Xenopus tropicalis: one gene and its partners. The protein of the gene in region 2 interacts with the protein of the main gene of each other region in a biochemical or structural test. Links are inferred from orthologs where the notes say so. Each region holds a gene or a part of one and is shown on either strand. Other genes may lie near its edges.

Region 1 (4,087 bases), on a different chromosome or scaffold from region 2:
TTTTTAGATTACTGGCTTAAAGTCACATTTTGGTTACATAAAAACCAGGTGTACTGCCAAACTGAACTCTGAACTCTGTAGGCTGCCAGGCCACATAGGGGCTATCAGATAGCCAATTACAGCCCTTATTTGGCACCCCAGGAACATGTTGCATGTGTTGCTCCCCAACTCTCTTTACATTTGAGTGTGTCTCAGGGATAAAAAAAGGTTTAGGATCCCTGATGTAGAACATGGTCTCCCTTTATAGCAGTTCTCATTTTGATGCAACTCACAAGCAGAAATGATCATATATAAGAATTAGAAAACAACATATTATTCTCAAGCTCAGCATGATAGAAATGCTACTTTTTTTTAACTGTGGATGCACTGGATCCATAAGGTTTGAAACCTCTGGAAAGATCTGTCTGACTTCTGAACTAAATTTGAACCCTAATTATTTTATATATTTTTTATATATAAAAAAACCAAACTGCATTACATGGGGGGGGGGGGGGTAGGCTCTTGGGCACATACTGTTAGGCCTTGTGGTACTCTGGCCCTGTGCATTAGGAAGTTGAAAAGGGGGGGGGGGGGGGGGTGGCAGAAAACAGCAGGGGGCATGTCTTGGGCATCCATACCTTAGGCCTGCATCAAATTGTTTTTTTTTATACACAATTTCAAAAACAATCACATTCTTATTGTATTCACATCAGTCCTTGCCCTAATGCCCCTATGACAATCACAGACACTATGGTCAGTGCTGTCAGGAGCCAATCAACCTTCGTAAATATTTTCAGAGAAGGTGAGTTGCCGCAAAAACATCACTATAATCACAGCCATAAAGCACCAGGACTGTCGCTTAGATAAAGAAATAATCTAAACGCGCATTTAAATGACCCATTGCAGCTACAGTAGTTTTTTCCGTAAATGTTCTCATTTTTGCGAGCAGCATGTTGGGACCGAAAGGATTACGCTTCTAGAGCCCCATTCAGTACAAATCCGGATCTGCGTACTGAGCTTTAAGCAGACAGTACCTGCACAATAGTACAACAAACGCAATTATTTAGTATAATATCCCACTAGCGCATTTGTGAGTCCTCCACTACCATAGAGCTACTTTCCTTCCCCAAACAGCCCCGCCCCCTAGGTGTCAAGCTAACCAATCAATGAGCGAGCCTGGGTTCGCAAGCCCCTCCTTCTGATGTCACAGCCTCTCAGCTACGGCCGTTAGGTTTTTGAAACATTTGAACTCTTTGGGCGGGAGAGGAAGGCACCGCTTGTGCAGGACGGGGTGGGAAAAAACGCAAAGGAAAATAAGAGCGGGTTACAAAGCAGCGCACGGTACGGGACCCGGAATCGGTAAGTGCCGGCTAATGTTAACCCTTTCCGTGCCCACGGCATGCTTCTCATAGGTTCCTGTCAGACTGCCCGGCTGGCCGCTGTGAGGCTCTATCTCCACTGCTGGAGGTTCCAGACTGGCCTCTAACAACCTCTGATGCGCTGCAGCTGCACAGCTCTGTCCCTCACCCCTTCTCTCTATCTGGGTTCCCTATAAGCCCCGTATTTGTCGCGAATAACTACGCACTATCCAAGGCTTTCTCCCTCTACCAGCCGGACATAATATCCTCAAGCCGTATGGGGCCGGCATGCCCCCTTTGGGTTTAAATGACCAGCGCTGACCCCTTCGGGTTTAAATGGACCGGTCCCCCCCCCTTGTGTTGAAATGGCCCAGCCTGACATATTTAGCTCAATGCAGAGTTGGCTGCTATAGGAAAGCCTGGGGCAATGACTGGGGGTGGCATCATAATTTAAAATTACGTTGGATATTGTAGAGGTTGTGTTTGTTTTCCTATTTATGTGTGTAATCCTAACATAAGGGTCAGTTATGGGGATTGCTGTACTGCAGTGTGGGGTCTGATACCCAAAATGCTTAGGAATTGGTTTTTGTTTTATTGAAACCAATATAAATTCATGCAACTTGGTTACCATCAAGTACAGAGTATTGTCTTATTATAGAGAGGCAGGAAATCATTTTTTTTAAATCTAATTATTTTGCTTTCTGCTTAAGAGGCCCCCAATCTTGTTTTGTATCTTAACGCAGGGGTATCACCTAAAAAATACAAATAAATCTTAAAACCACTAGTTTAAATTTTTAATTTTTTGCTTATTTTGTCACAACCCACCAAGACTTTTATTTAACTCATTCCATGCCAGCTGCAGGAGTGCTCCAAGTCTGCTTTTTGTTTCACTGACTTAAACAAAACCTGGAAGCATATAAATACATTGATAGTACTCTGTTTGCCAGCAATGTACATTCATTTTTTTTGTTGTAGTTTTCATATTATTAGCAGTTTTAGACAGCATTGCACTGGCTGGCCACCAAAAGGTTAAGTGACTACTGCTGGCAGCATCTCCTGCACGGTGTTCTTGTCAGCTCATGTAGAATTTTCTGAGGAGTGTCATTGGGGATGCTTTTTTCTCTCACAGAAATTGGCATTTTGGTATCCCCTGGTCTGTTAGGGTGAAGACACACAGAGCTACTTGTAGCAGCTACTTGTCACAGCTACTAAAATAGACAATGTTGATCATTTACTGATGACTGTCTGTGTTTTATCAGAAGCAATTCTCAGTATTGTCTATGGCAGGGTATTTTCTGGCGTTTAGTAGCTGTGACAAGTAGATGCTACTAAATTGCTCTGTGTGTTTTATACCCAAGGCTTTACTACACTGCATTGTGTGACAGGATCTAGTTGTCTCCTGTTTGGTATATGTTTGACCCTCTATGAGAGTAAACTACAAGTTATGTTTCTAATAAAGCCAAGTTGTCTGCTGATGACTTTCATTGTAATGTTATCTGCTATTAGTAAGTCCTCTTTATTTTGCAGGTTCCACCATGAACGACGCGGAGTGCCTGTCCCACCTCTTGCAGGTGTGTGCTCGCAAGACGGAGGAGTTTGTTCGGACTCTTGACAGCAAGCACATGGTTTGGCTTCTGGAGATTGAAGAAGAGGCAAGAAAAATGTTCAGCAGGTGCGTTCTGTATGAACCATAACAATTCGACACTTATTACTCTATCGCTAGATATGGAATGCATGCTCAGTCTACTGATTTAGCATCATATAATCATATATAATATCTTTTTAAACAATAATCCCTGCCTTTCCTAATGCCCTATTACTTACCAGTGTCAAACTCTAAAGTCCCATCACATGTTTGCTGCAACCATTGCATTGTGTTTGTGGAGTGGATCTATAGGCTGGATGCACTGTTTCCATGGGTTGCGTCAGCCAAACGGGTCTGTTTCCCTCTTAAGCTCCATGTCATGGCTGTTTCTTCTGGTAAGTAATAAAGGTCCTGGGGAGGCAAGAGTTTAGTGCCACAAAGGTTTTTGTGATGCCCATTCCTGTAAAAGGGTGGCAGGAGTCCAGTTTGTATTTCCTGATTGGTTGGTCCAAGTAGCAAATGTTGACTAGCAAGTGAACTGGATAAATGCTTTATGGGCCTTAGTTATTTTTTTTTATTTATAACTATTTAACAAATGCAGGCATATCTGCAAGTCTCTCCCCAGTAGTGCCCTTTAGCCTATCCTATCACTGCAAACAGTCGGTATTGATGATGCACTTGTACCCAGAAATTGAAAGTTCGCCCTAGAATTTTTAGGTCACAAGCATGTTAAGTTTTTAACCATATTGTTTAGGTTGTGGTTATTGTTTGGCAAAGAAAGCTAATCTGAAACAGCTTCCGGGTTAACTTGATTTTTTTGTTACTGGAATGCCTTCTTGCCAGGCAACCCAGATTAACTGTGTAACCCTTTAACATTTATAAAATACGTAATACATTCCATACCTCTGTTCTGCAAGACTGTATCCAGAAAATGTGGAATATATAATAATGTTTGCAAGAAATCCACTTCCTCCAGCCCAAAAGCTCTAATTAAATCCTACAAATATTTCTTCTGAATTGATTTAAAATATTGTTTCAGTCCAGACTGTGTGCCTGTAGGGCTTTTGTTTGGTATATGTATAGATAGGTGTGCGCAATACATCTGGAATGCAGAAAGTTCTGCTTGAGGGAAGAAACAAGCCTGCTTCTATTGTTTGTCTTGAGT
Region 2 (4,164 bases):
GTTCACGGAATGGGGTCCCCTGTACTGAGTCATCATGGGAAATCTCTTTCCAGGCATCCAAACATCCTCCGGCTATATGGGTACTTCCATGATGCCGCCCGAGTCTACCTAATCCTGGATTATGCCCCCGGCGGGGAGCTGTTCCGAGAGCTGCAGAAAGTCACCAGATTTGATGAGCAGAAGAGCGCCTTGGTATGTCTGCTGATGGCCCTTTGTATCCCTACCCAGGGGAATACTATGGGGAAAGGGAGCCAAGTAATATACAAAGCTTGTGCGAGGTCTTGTAACCCATAGCAACCAGTTGGCAGGCATCTGATTCTATAGGTCACTAGAACTATTGCAACTTTGACTCTGCATACCCTGTGTGGGTAATTGGTTGCACCGGTACTGCTGCCCATAGCAACCCAACCACAACTTGTAGACAAGACAAAACTGTTAACTGATTGGTTGCTATGCATTACTGACCCCATGTTGGTAAATCTGATTCTCTATGTAATGGGAGGTTTTAACCAGTGCCTTTATCATTCCCCCCCCCCCCCCCCAGTACATCAAACAGCTGGCAGAAGCCCTCCTGTACTGTCACTCCAAGAACGTGATACACCGGGATATCAAGCCAGAGAACTTGCTGCTCGGTGCCAACGGGGAACTGAAGATCGCTGACTTTGGTTGGTCTGTGCACGCGCCGTCCTCCAGGTACAGGGGTTCAAGGGGAGAGAAGGGATGGAATTCTGCTGCGTTAGGGTGTACTGTCCTTGCAGGAAATTATTGGGAGATTTGCACTTGGGTGCCTATTGCATAAAGCAGATCCCTTGCAATGTAAGGCCCACGTGTCTTCTGGGACTTTTTTCTCAGAGTATATAGCAAGCCTGCCATAAAGCATGATGCAAGCGTAGTTTTTCAGTATGTCACAATAAAAATAACTTGTATGCAGGGTGACTGTTACCCCAATGTTTCTATATATCTGTAACCTTGTTATGGGCTAAGGGGGTCCAGCCTGAAGGCCAGTTAGGGGGGATTTGGGGTGAGTGCTTATTTGTGCCCTGGGTACCCCTGGAACTATAGCGGGGTGACTGTTACCCCAATGTTTCTATATATCTGTAACCTTGTTATGGGCTAAGGGGGCCCAGCCTGAAGGCCAGTTAGGGGGGATTTGGGGTGAGTGCTTATTTGTGCCCTGGGTACCCCTGGAACTATAGCGGGGTGACTGTTACCCCAATGTTTCTATATATCTGTAACCTTGTTATGGGCTAAGGGGGCCCAGCCTGAAGGCCAGTTAGGGGGGGGATTTGGGGTGAGTGCTTATTTGTGCCCTGGGTACCCCTGGAACTATAGCGGGGTGATTGTTACCCCAATGTTTCTATATATCTGTAACCTTGTTATGGGCTAAGGGGGCCCAGCCTGAAGGCCAGTTAGGGGGGGGATTTGGGGTGAGTGTTTATTTGTGCCCTGGGTACCCCTGGAACTATAGCGGGGTGATTGTTACCCCCAATGTTTCTATATATCTGTAACCTTGTTATGGGCTAAGGGGGCCCAGCCTGAAGGCCAGTTAGGGGGGATTTGGGGTGAGTGCTTATTTGTGCCCTGGGTACCCCTGGAACTATAGCGGGGTGACTGTTACCCCAATGTTTCTATATATCTGTAACCTTGTTATGGGCTAAGGGGGCCCAGCCTGAAGGCCAGTTAGTGCAATATCCTGGCATTTCTGAGATCTGGATCTTTCCATTTTGCTTCTCTTCAGGAGGACCACTCTGTGCGGAACCCTGGACTATCTCCCTCCTGAGATGATTGAGGGCCGAATGCACGACGAGAAGGTGGACTTGTGGAGCCTGGGAGTCCTCTGTTATGAGTTCCTTGTAGGGAAACCTCCATTTGAGACTGACACCCACCAGGAAACCTACAGACGTATTTCAAAGGTATCTTTCTATATCCCCCTTAGTACTCCCACCTCCGTGCCCAACATACGGACAGGCAGGGTGCTCCCATCACTGGGGTGAGGTGCTTCACTATTATAAATATCAGTACTGATTCCAACTAGACTGGCTATGGTCAAACTGGTCTTGTTACCACTAAATCTGATGGGGGGGTCTAAATACAAACATGACATATTTAGTGCTGCGCTTCATACCCCTTCCCAGTATAACCCCCCCTCCCAACTGCTTTATTTTCTGCAGGTTGAATTTCAGTATCCTTCGTATGTATCGGAAGGAGCCAGAGATCTCGTATCGAAGCTGTTAAAGCACAACCCAAACCACAGGCTGTCCCTGAAGGGGGTTCTCGAACATCCGTGGATCATAGATAATTCTGCTCAAAAGCCCAAGAGGAAAGAGGGGCCGGTTACAGGGGCTCAATAGGAAATCCCCTGTGGATCTTTACTTTCCCAAATGTGAGAAGGCACAGCAATTTGCACCTGCTGGATACCCCCCTGCCCTGTTTAATGGGGGGGGGGGGGGGTCACAATCTGGCAACTCACAGCTCAGTATTTGCTTATTGACTCCAACACAAGGCAATGTACCATGGAACACTCACCGCCTTGCGTGCCTTTTGTGAATGGGACTAGACTGCCTGATCTGGAACGACGGGTTCTTTAAAGGGGCCACGAGGCCCGGTGCTTTATAACTTCTATCGTCACAAACCACTGCTCTGCTACTGGCACAGGTTCCCTTTACTATGGATGTTTAACCCCAGATGCGGCAGTTATAAAACTGTATACGCACTGACAACTAAAATCTGCCGGTTCCGACACCACTGATTGATTATACAGAGATTGTAAGGTTTCCTTGGCCGGTGCAATAGTGATGTGAATGCCTTGGGTATATTTATTAGGCTGCTAATATGGCTGTCCCATTACACAGCTGCTCTGAATACTGAGAGAATGAATTCAGTGTAAATACCTATTCTGTATCAACTTATATCTCGTCTGTCCTTTTATGTGTTAACAACACTTTTTAGAAAAGCATAAAAATCTGTTCTAAGATGCTCCCTTTTCTTTCTGTGTTTTAAAATAAAGCTGATTGAAAAAGTTACTGCCAAACGGTGCCTTTCTCAGTTAGGGAATGGGTGGCAAAATGGGCTGGTACCCCGAAATCCATAGATTCCAATGGGGGGAAGAAAGAAGGGCAAAGACATGGGGCTCCCCTAAGCAGGAAGATGGTACATTACTAGTCTGACACTAGCCCAGATGGGTCAGTAAGCATAGAGCCATGAAGGTTATTATAGAATAGGCTGCCTACAGGGCTACTGGCACTTTATTGTGAGTTGGAAGCCTGCAACATGACTGTTACCCCAATGTTTCTATATATCTATAACCTTGTTATGGGCTAAGGGGGCCCAGCCTGAAGGCCAGTTAGGGGGGGATTTGGGGTGAGTGCTTATTTGTGCCCTAGGTACCCCTGGAACTATAGCGGGGTGACTGTTACCCCAATGTTTCTATATATCTATAACCTTGTTATGGGCTAAGGGGGCCCAGCCTGAAGGCCAGTTAGGGGGGGATTTGGGGTGAGTGCTTATTTGTGCCCTGGGTACCCCTGGAACTATAGCGGGGTGACTGTTACCCCAATGTTTCTATATATCTGTAACCTTGTTATGGGCTAAGGGGGCCCAGCCTGAAGGCCAGTTAGACTTCTGGATCACACCGACAATAGGATAGGGATAAGATCTCTGCTTTCTATCACAATCCTATTACTACTTCCTACCTTTTAATCACTTAGCCACTAGGATTTTTTTGTTTTTAATTCCTTTGGGGGGGGGCCAGAATGGTAACCTAGGTACTGTATAACCATAAGGAACTGGTTGGCATTTTTATTTGGTCCATTAGGCTGCTGTAATAACCTCTGCCAACCAATAGGTGGAACCCATACTTCTGTGAGCTCAAGGTTTCCCAGTTGGGCCGAGCCAAGGGCTCCCAATCAGCAGCCATAATCTGCCCCACAGCCATATGGTCGGAGATAATCAGCCTGCTGAATGCAGAAATAGTGTAAAGAGCCCAGCAAGGCAGCCCGGGTATAAGCAGCTCTGCAGGGTATAAGCAATGGTTAAATGTCCATTAAATGTGTACTCTATATACACCCCAAGCTTCCCCTTTAATTAAAGGCCCAGGCAGCTGTTTTGAGGTCATTAATAAGAAACCCAAGGGTGAAACGTCTATATATTTAGATGTAAAAATAA
Region 3 (3,957 bases), on a different chromosome or scaffold from region 2:
CTCCCCTAGCAACTGAGGTGTGTTAGGAGCCACAACAAGTCCATTACCACTAACACAAACACTTCACACCCTGCCTACAGCTCTGTTGAAACAAACATTAGTGTGCAGACAGTACTCAGTGGGATTGCATTCAGTATAATTATACCCAAGCCCTATGACCCTATTTACGGAGGGAGATTAGCTCTTGCTGTAACCCATATATTAAACACATATAAGAGAGAAGCTTTTGTGTCTGGGGCAAACAAATATTAGGCTCAGCTGCACACAGAAATGGTCTGATATGTTCATTAGTTTAAACCCCCCCTGTAATCCAGAGAACTGCAGAAAATCTCAAATACCATATGGCTGATATGATGACATACAACCTCTTGCACACATTGGAGTGATCATAAAATGTCCCCTCATATGCATTATTATGGGTTAAAAGTTATTTTTTTTCACAGAAAGTCACCTTAAATGTGTTACCTTTTGCTTCTAGAAAAAGTAAGCAGCTAACTAGATGGGTCAACAATCAAGAAATGATGTCAGCAAAAGGGTTAATGGGCTGGATACAAGCAAAACATTTGGAAAAGTGGTTTGCTTTCCCTTGGAAATTCATGGCCATACTTTGTTGAAAGTGACAATAAAAGGAAGCAGATGGGAGCGTTAAAGGAAAAATTAACTACACCAGAGCTCATCCACAAGCCCAGGCAACTAACTGTGCCAGCCTAGCCAGAAAAAAACAGCTAATTCCCAGAGAGAAATGCACAGCACCCAAGGGTTCTTTGCTGTCAGCCCCCATGGATCACATGCACTGTTGTAATGAAATAATGCTACAGGCTGCAGAACGAATACAGGGACTGTCAAACTCCCTTTCTGGACTACAGCTCCCATGCCAGCCAACAAAAAGGGCAGATTATGGGTTTAACTCTTTGGTTACATCAGCTGCTATATTTTTTAAATATCCGATGTATGATTTCACTATAAATACACACCACTACCCTTGGCAGTGCTATACACTGTGTTATTCATTAAGCAGGGAGAGAAGTATGATGGCAACTGCAAATCAGCATAGAAACTCCATAGTGACAACAGTTGTGTGGCTTCACTGAACCACTGAGGCAGTTTCCCAGTCCAGTAGAAGCTAGTGCTGCACATTAGTAGTACCAAGAGTATATTGTGTATTCATCCTGGCACAGCCACTGCATAAACCCCTGGCACAAGCCCTTTACCAATCCCCATGACCTTTAAAGTTTATGTCTCCCAGTTAGTGCCAAGAGATCCGTTAAACCATGCAATGGCAGTATCTGTATCCCTAGCAGTGGCACAAGATCTCTTCTCATCACCAAACATGCTCATTAGGTGCCCCTAGCAGTGGCACAAGATCTCTTCTCATCACCAAACATGCTCATTAGGTGCCCCTGGCAGTGGCACAAGATCTCTACTCATCACCAAACATGCTCATTAGGTGCCCCTGGCAGTGGCACAAGATCTCTACTCATCACCAAACATGCTCATTAGGTGCCCCTGGCAGTGGCACAAGATCTCTACTCATCACCAAACATGCTCATTAGGTGCCCCTGGCAGTGGCACAAGATCTCTACTCATCACCAAACATGCTCATTAGGTGCCCCTGGCAGTGGCACAAGATCTCTACTCATCACCAAACATGCTCATTAGGTGCCCCTGGCAGTGGCACAAGATCTCTACTCATCACCAAACATGCTCATTAGGTGCCCCTGGCAGTGGCACAAGATCTCTACTCATCACCAAACATGCTCATTAGGTGCCCCTGGCAGTGGCACAAGATCTCTACTCATCACCAAACATGCTCATTAGGTGCCCCTGGCAGTGGCACAAGATCTCTACTCATCACCAAACATGCTCATTAGGTGCCCCTGGCAGTGGCACAAGATCTCTACTCATCACCAAACATGCTCATTAGGTGCCCCTGGCAGTGGCACAAGATCTCTACTCATCACCAAACATGCTCATTAGGTGCCCCTGGCAGTGGCACAAGATCTCTACTCATCACCAAACATGCTCATTAGGTGCCCCTGGCAGTGGCACAAGATCTCTACTCATCACCAAACATGCTCATTAGGTGCCCCTGGCAGTGGCACAAGATCTCTACTCATCACCAAACATGCTCATTAGGTGCCCCTGGCAGTGGTACATGATCTCTAAACGTAGCATGCATTCTAAGAGCCTGTATCCCATTCCCTGACAATAGCATGGCACAGTGATTTCCTGGCCAGACACCACTCTGGTTTCCTCTATTTTCGCTCGGGTAAGTACAGCTCTGTGCCACAAGCGCCCATGTGAGATGAGCGGCACAAGAAACGCGAGCATTGGGCTTGGCTCCTGGCTGATTCAGCATTTGGATCACAAGTACAGATTGGGCTTCCCTAAACCAGAGACCGCCCTCCCCTCTAAAACCGTTACATACCCCTCTTGTTCCTGCGCCAGAAGATCCGCTCTCACTCCATCCCGGGGCTGGGGCTGTGTGTGCGGAGAGCTGCCCTGTGTAGCGCGGTGACGGGGCCGGGGGAATGGGGACTGGATGCTGGAGTTGGTGAGCTTCTGGTCCCCTGGTCTCCACAGCCCGGTTACCCTTCCACCGATCTCTAGCTGAGCTGTTTGAATGGTCAGAGACAGTAGGAGGAGAGACCTTACGTCTGTAGGCGTGGGAAAGACATGGAACCCAGAGAGAAGGCGCACACGCTCCCCCCACAGGCAAACACGGGGAGCTGCCACAGAACGCAGCCAGCAGGGCAGGGAGCGGTGCGTCTGCTACTCGGATGCTGCGACCTAAGGTCAACCCAACCCCCCGACCGAATGAGTGGGGTTTAAAAAGTGAAAGAGCTGGAGGTTGATCGACTCTTGAATAAATCTCATGTCAGAAGAATGCTTCAGTTTTGTTATGCCCTAAAGCAGGCATTGTAATGCGCTACTACTTGTTACTGGGCATGTTCTGACCTATTACTTGTATCATGTTGAGCATTATAGCATCTGTATTACTTTTCTGCCAAGAACAATGCAGGCTTTTTTATTGGAATTACTGGTCTAGATACTCTTCAAAAAGTATCGGGGGTTTTGGTGAATAGAAGTGCATATTTCAAAATACACATTTTAGACAGTCTTAACTGGGCCATGCAGGAATGCCCCAATATACTGGGCCCAATAATACCATGTGGTAGAATGTCCTCCAAAATGTGCAGTAGGGGTAGGAAAATGGTGTAAGTGGGATATATATATATATAAAAAAAATTTTTCAATAAAACCACTTTTTCTTTTGTATCAAGTCCCTATGTGTGCGGCACTCTTTCTATTATATTTTTGTTTTTTGACCTGCACCAAGAGCATTTGGACTTGTATAGGGTGTGCTCCTCCCTGTATACTATATATATATATATATACAGTGGTGTGAAAAACTATTTTATTCCTGATTTCTTATTCTTTTGCATGTTTGTCACACTTAAATGTTTCTGCTCATCAAAAACCGTTAACTATTAGTCAAAGATAACATAATTGAACACAAAATGCAGTTTTTAAATGAAGGTTTACGTTATTAAGGGAGAAAAAAAACTCCAAATCTACATGGCCCTGTGTGAAAAAGTGATTGCCCCCCTTGTTAAAAAATAACTTAACTGTGGTTTATCACACCTGAGTTCAATTTCTGTAGTCACCCCCAGGCCTGATTACTGCCACACCTGTTTCAATCAAGAAATCACTTAAATAGGAGCTACCTGACACAGAGAAGTAGACCAAAAGCACCTCAAAAGCTAGACATCATGCCAAGATCCAAAGAAATTGAGGAACAAATGAGAACAAAAGTAATTGAGATCTATCAGTCTGGTAAAGGTTATAAAGCCATTTCTAAAGCTTTGGGACTCCAGCGAACCACAGTGAGAGCCATTATCCACAAATGGCAAAACATGGAACAGTGGTGAACCTTCCCAGGAGTGGCCGGCCGAC

What was found.
Region 1: the proteins of aurka (region 2) and incenp form a complex in vitro, tested with the Homo sapiens proteins (3 studies listed by BioGRID and IntAct, with this or other methods). The link is inferred for Xenopus tropicalis from reciprocal best matches to the Homo sapiens genes AURKA and INCENP.
Region 3: of the proteins of aurka (region 2) and nin, one has a biochemical effect on the other in vitro, tested with the Homo sapiens proteins (2 studies listed by BioGRID). The link is inferred for Xenopus tropicalis from reciprocal best matches to the Homo sapiens genes AURKA and NIN.

What each region holds. Positions count from the first base shown.
Region 1 is NC_030680.2:22,838,897-22,842,983, forward strand, and holds the start of incenp (inner centromere protein), read left to right. Parts: upstream 1-1,287; 5' UTR 1,288-1,338; intron 1,339-2,864; 5' UTR 2,865-2,872; coding exon 2,873-3,009; intron 3,010-4,087. UniProt on the Homo sapiens protein: Component of the chromosomal passenger complex (CPC), a complex that acts as a key regulator of mitosis.
Region 2 is NC_030686.2:6,093,774-6,097,937, forward strand, and holds the end of aurka (aurora kinase A), read left to right. Parts: intron 1-53; coding exon 54-192; intron 193-544; coding exon 545-693; intron 694-1,738; coding exon 1,739-1,913; intron 1,914-2,171; coding exon 2,172-2,351; 3' UTR 2,352-3,023; downstream 3,024-4,164. UniProt on the Homo sapiens protein: Mitotic serine/threonine kinase that contributes to the regulation of cell cycle progression.
Region 3 is NC_030684.2:96,223,227-96,227,183, reverse strand, and holds the start of nin (ninein), read right to left. Parts: upstream 2,801-3,957; 5' UTR 2,429-2,800; intron 1-2,428. UniProt on the Homo sapiens protein: Centrosomal protein required in the positioning and anchorage of the microtubule minus-end in epithelial cells. May also act as a centrosome maturation factor.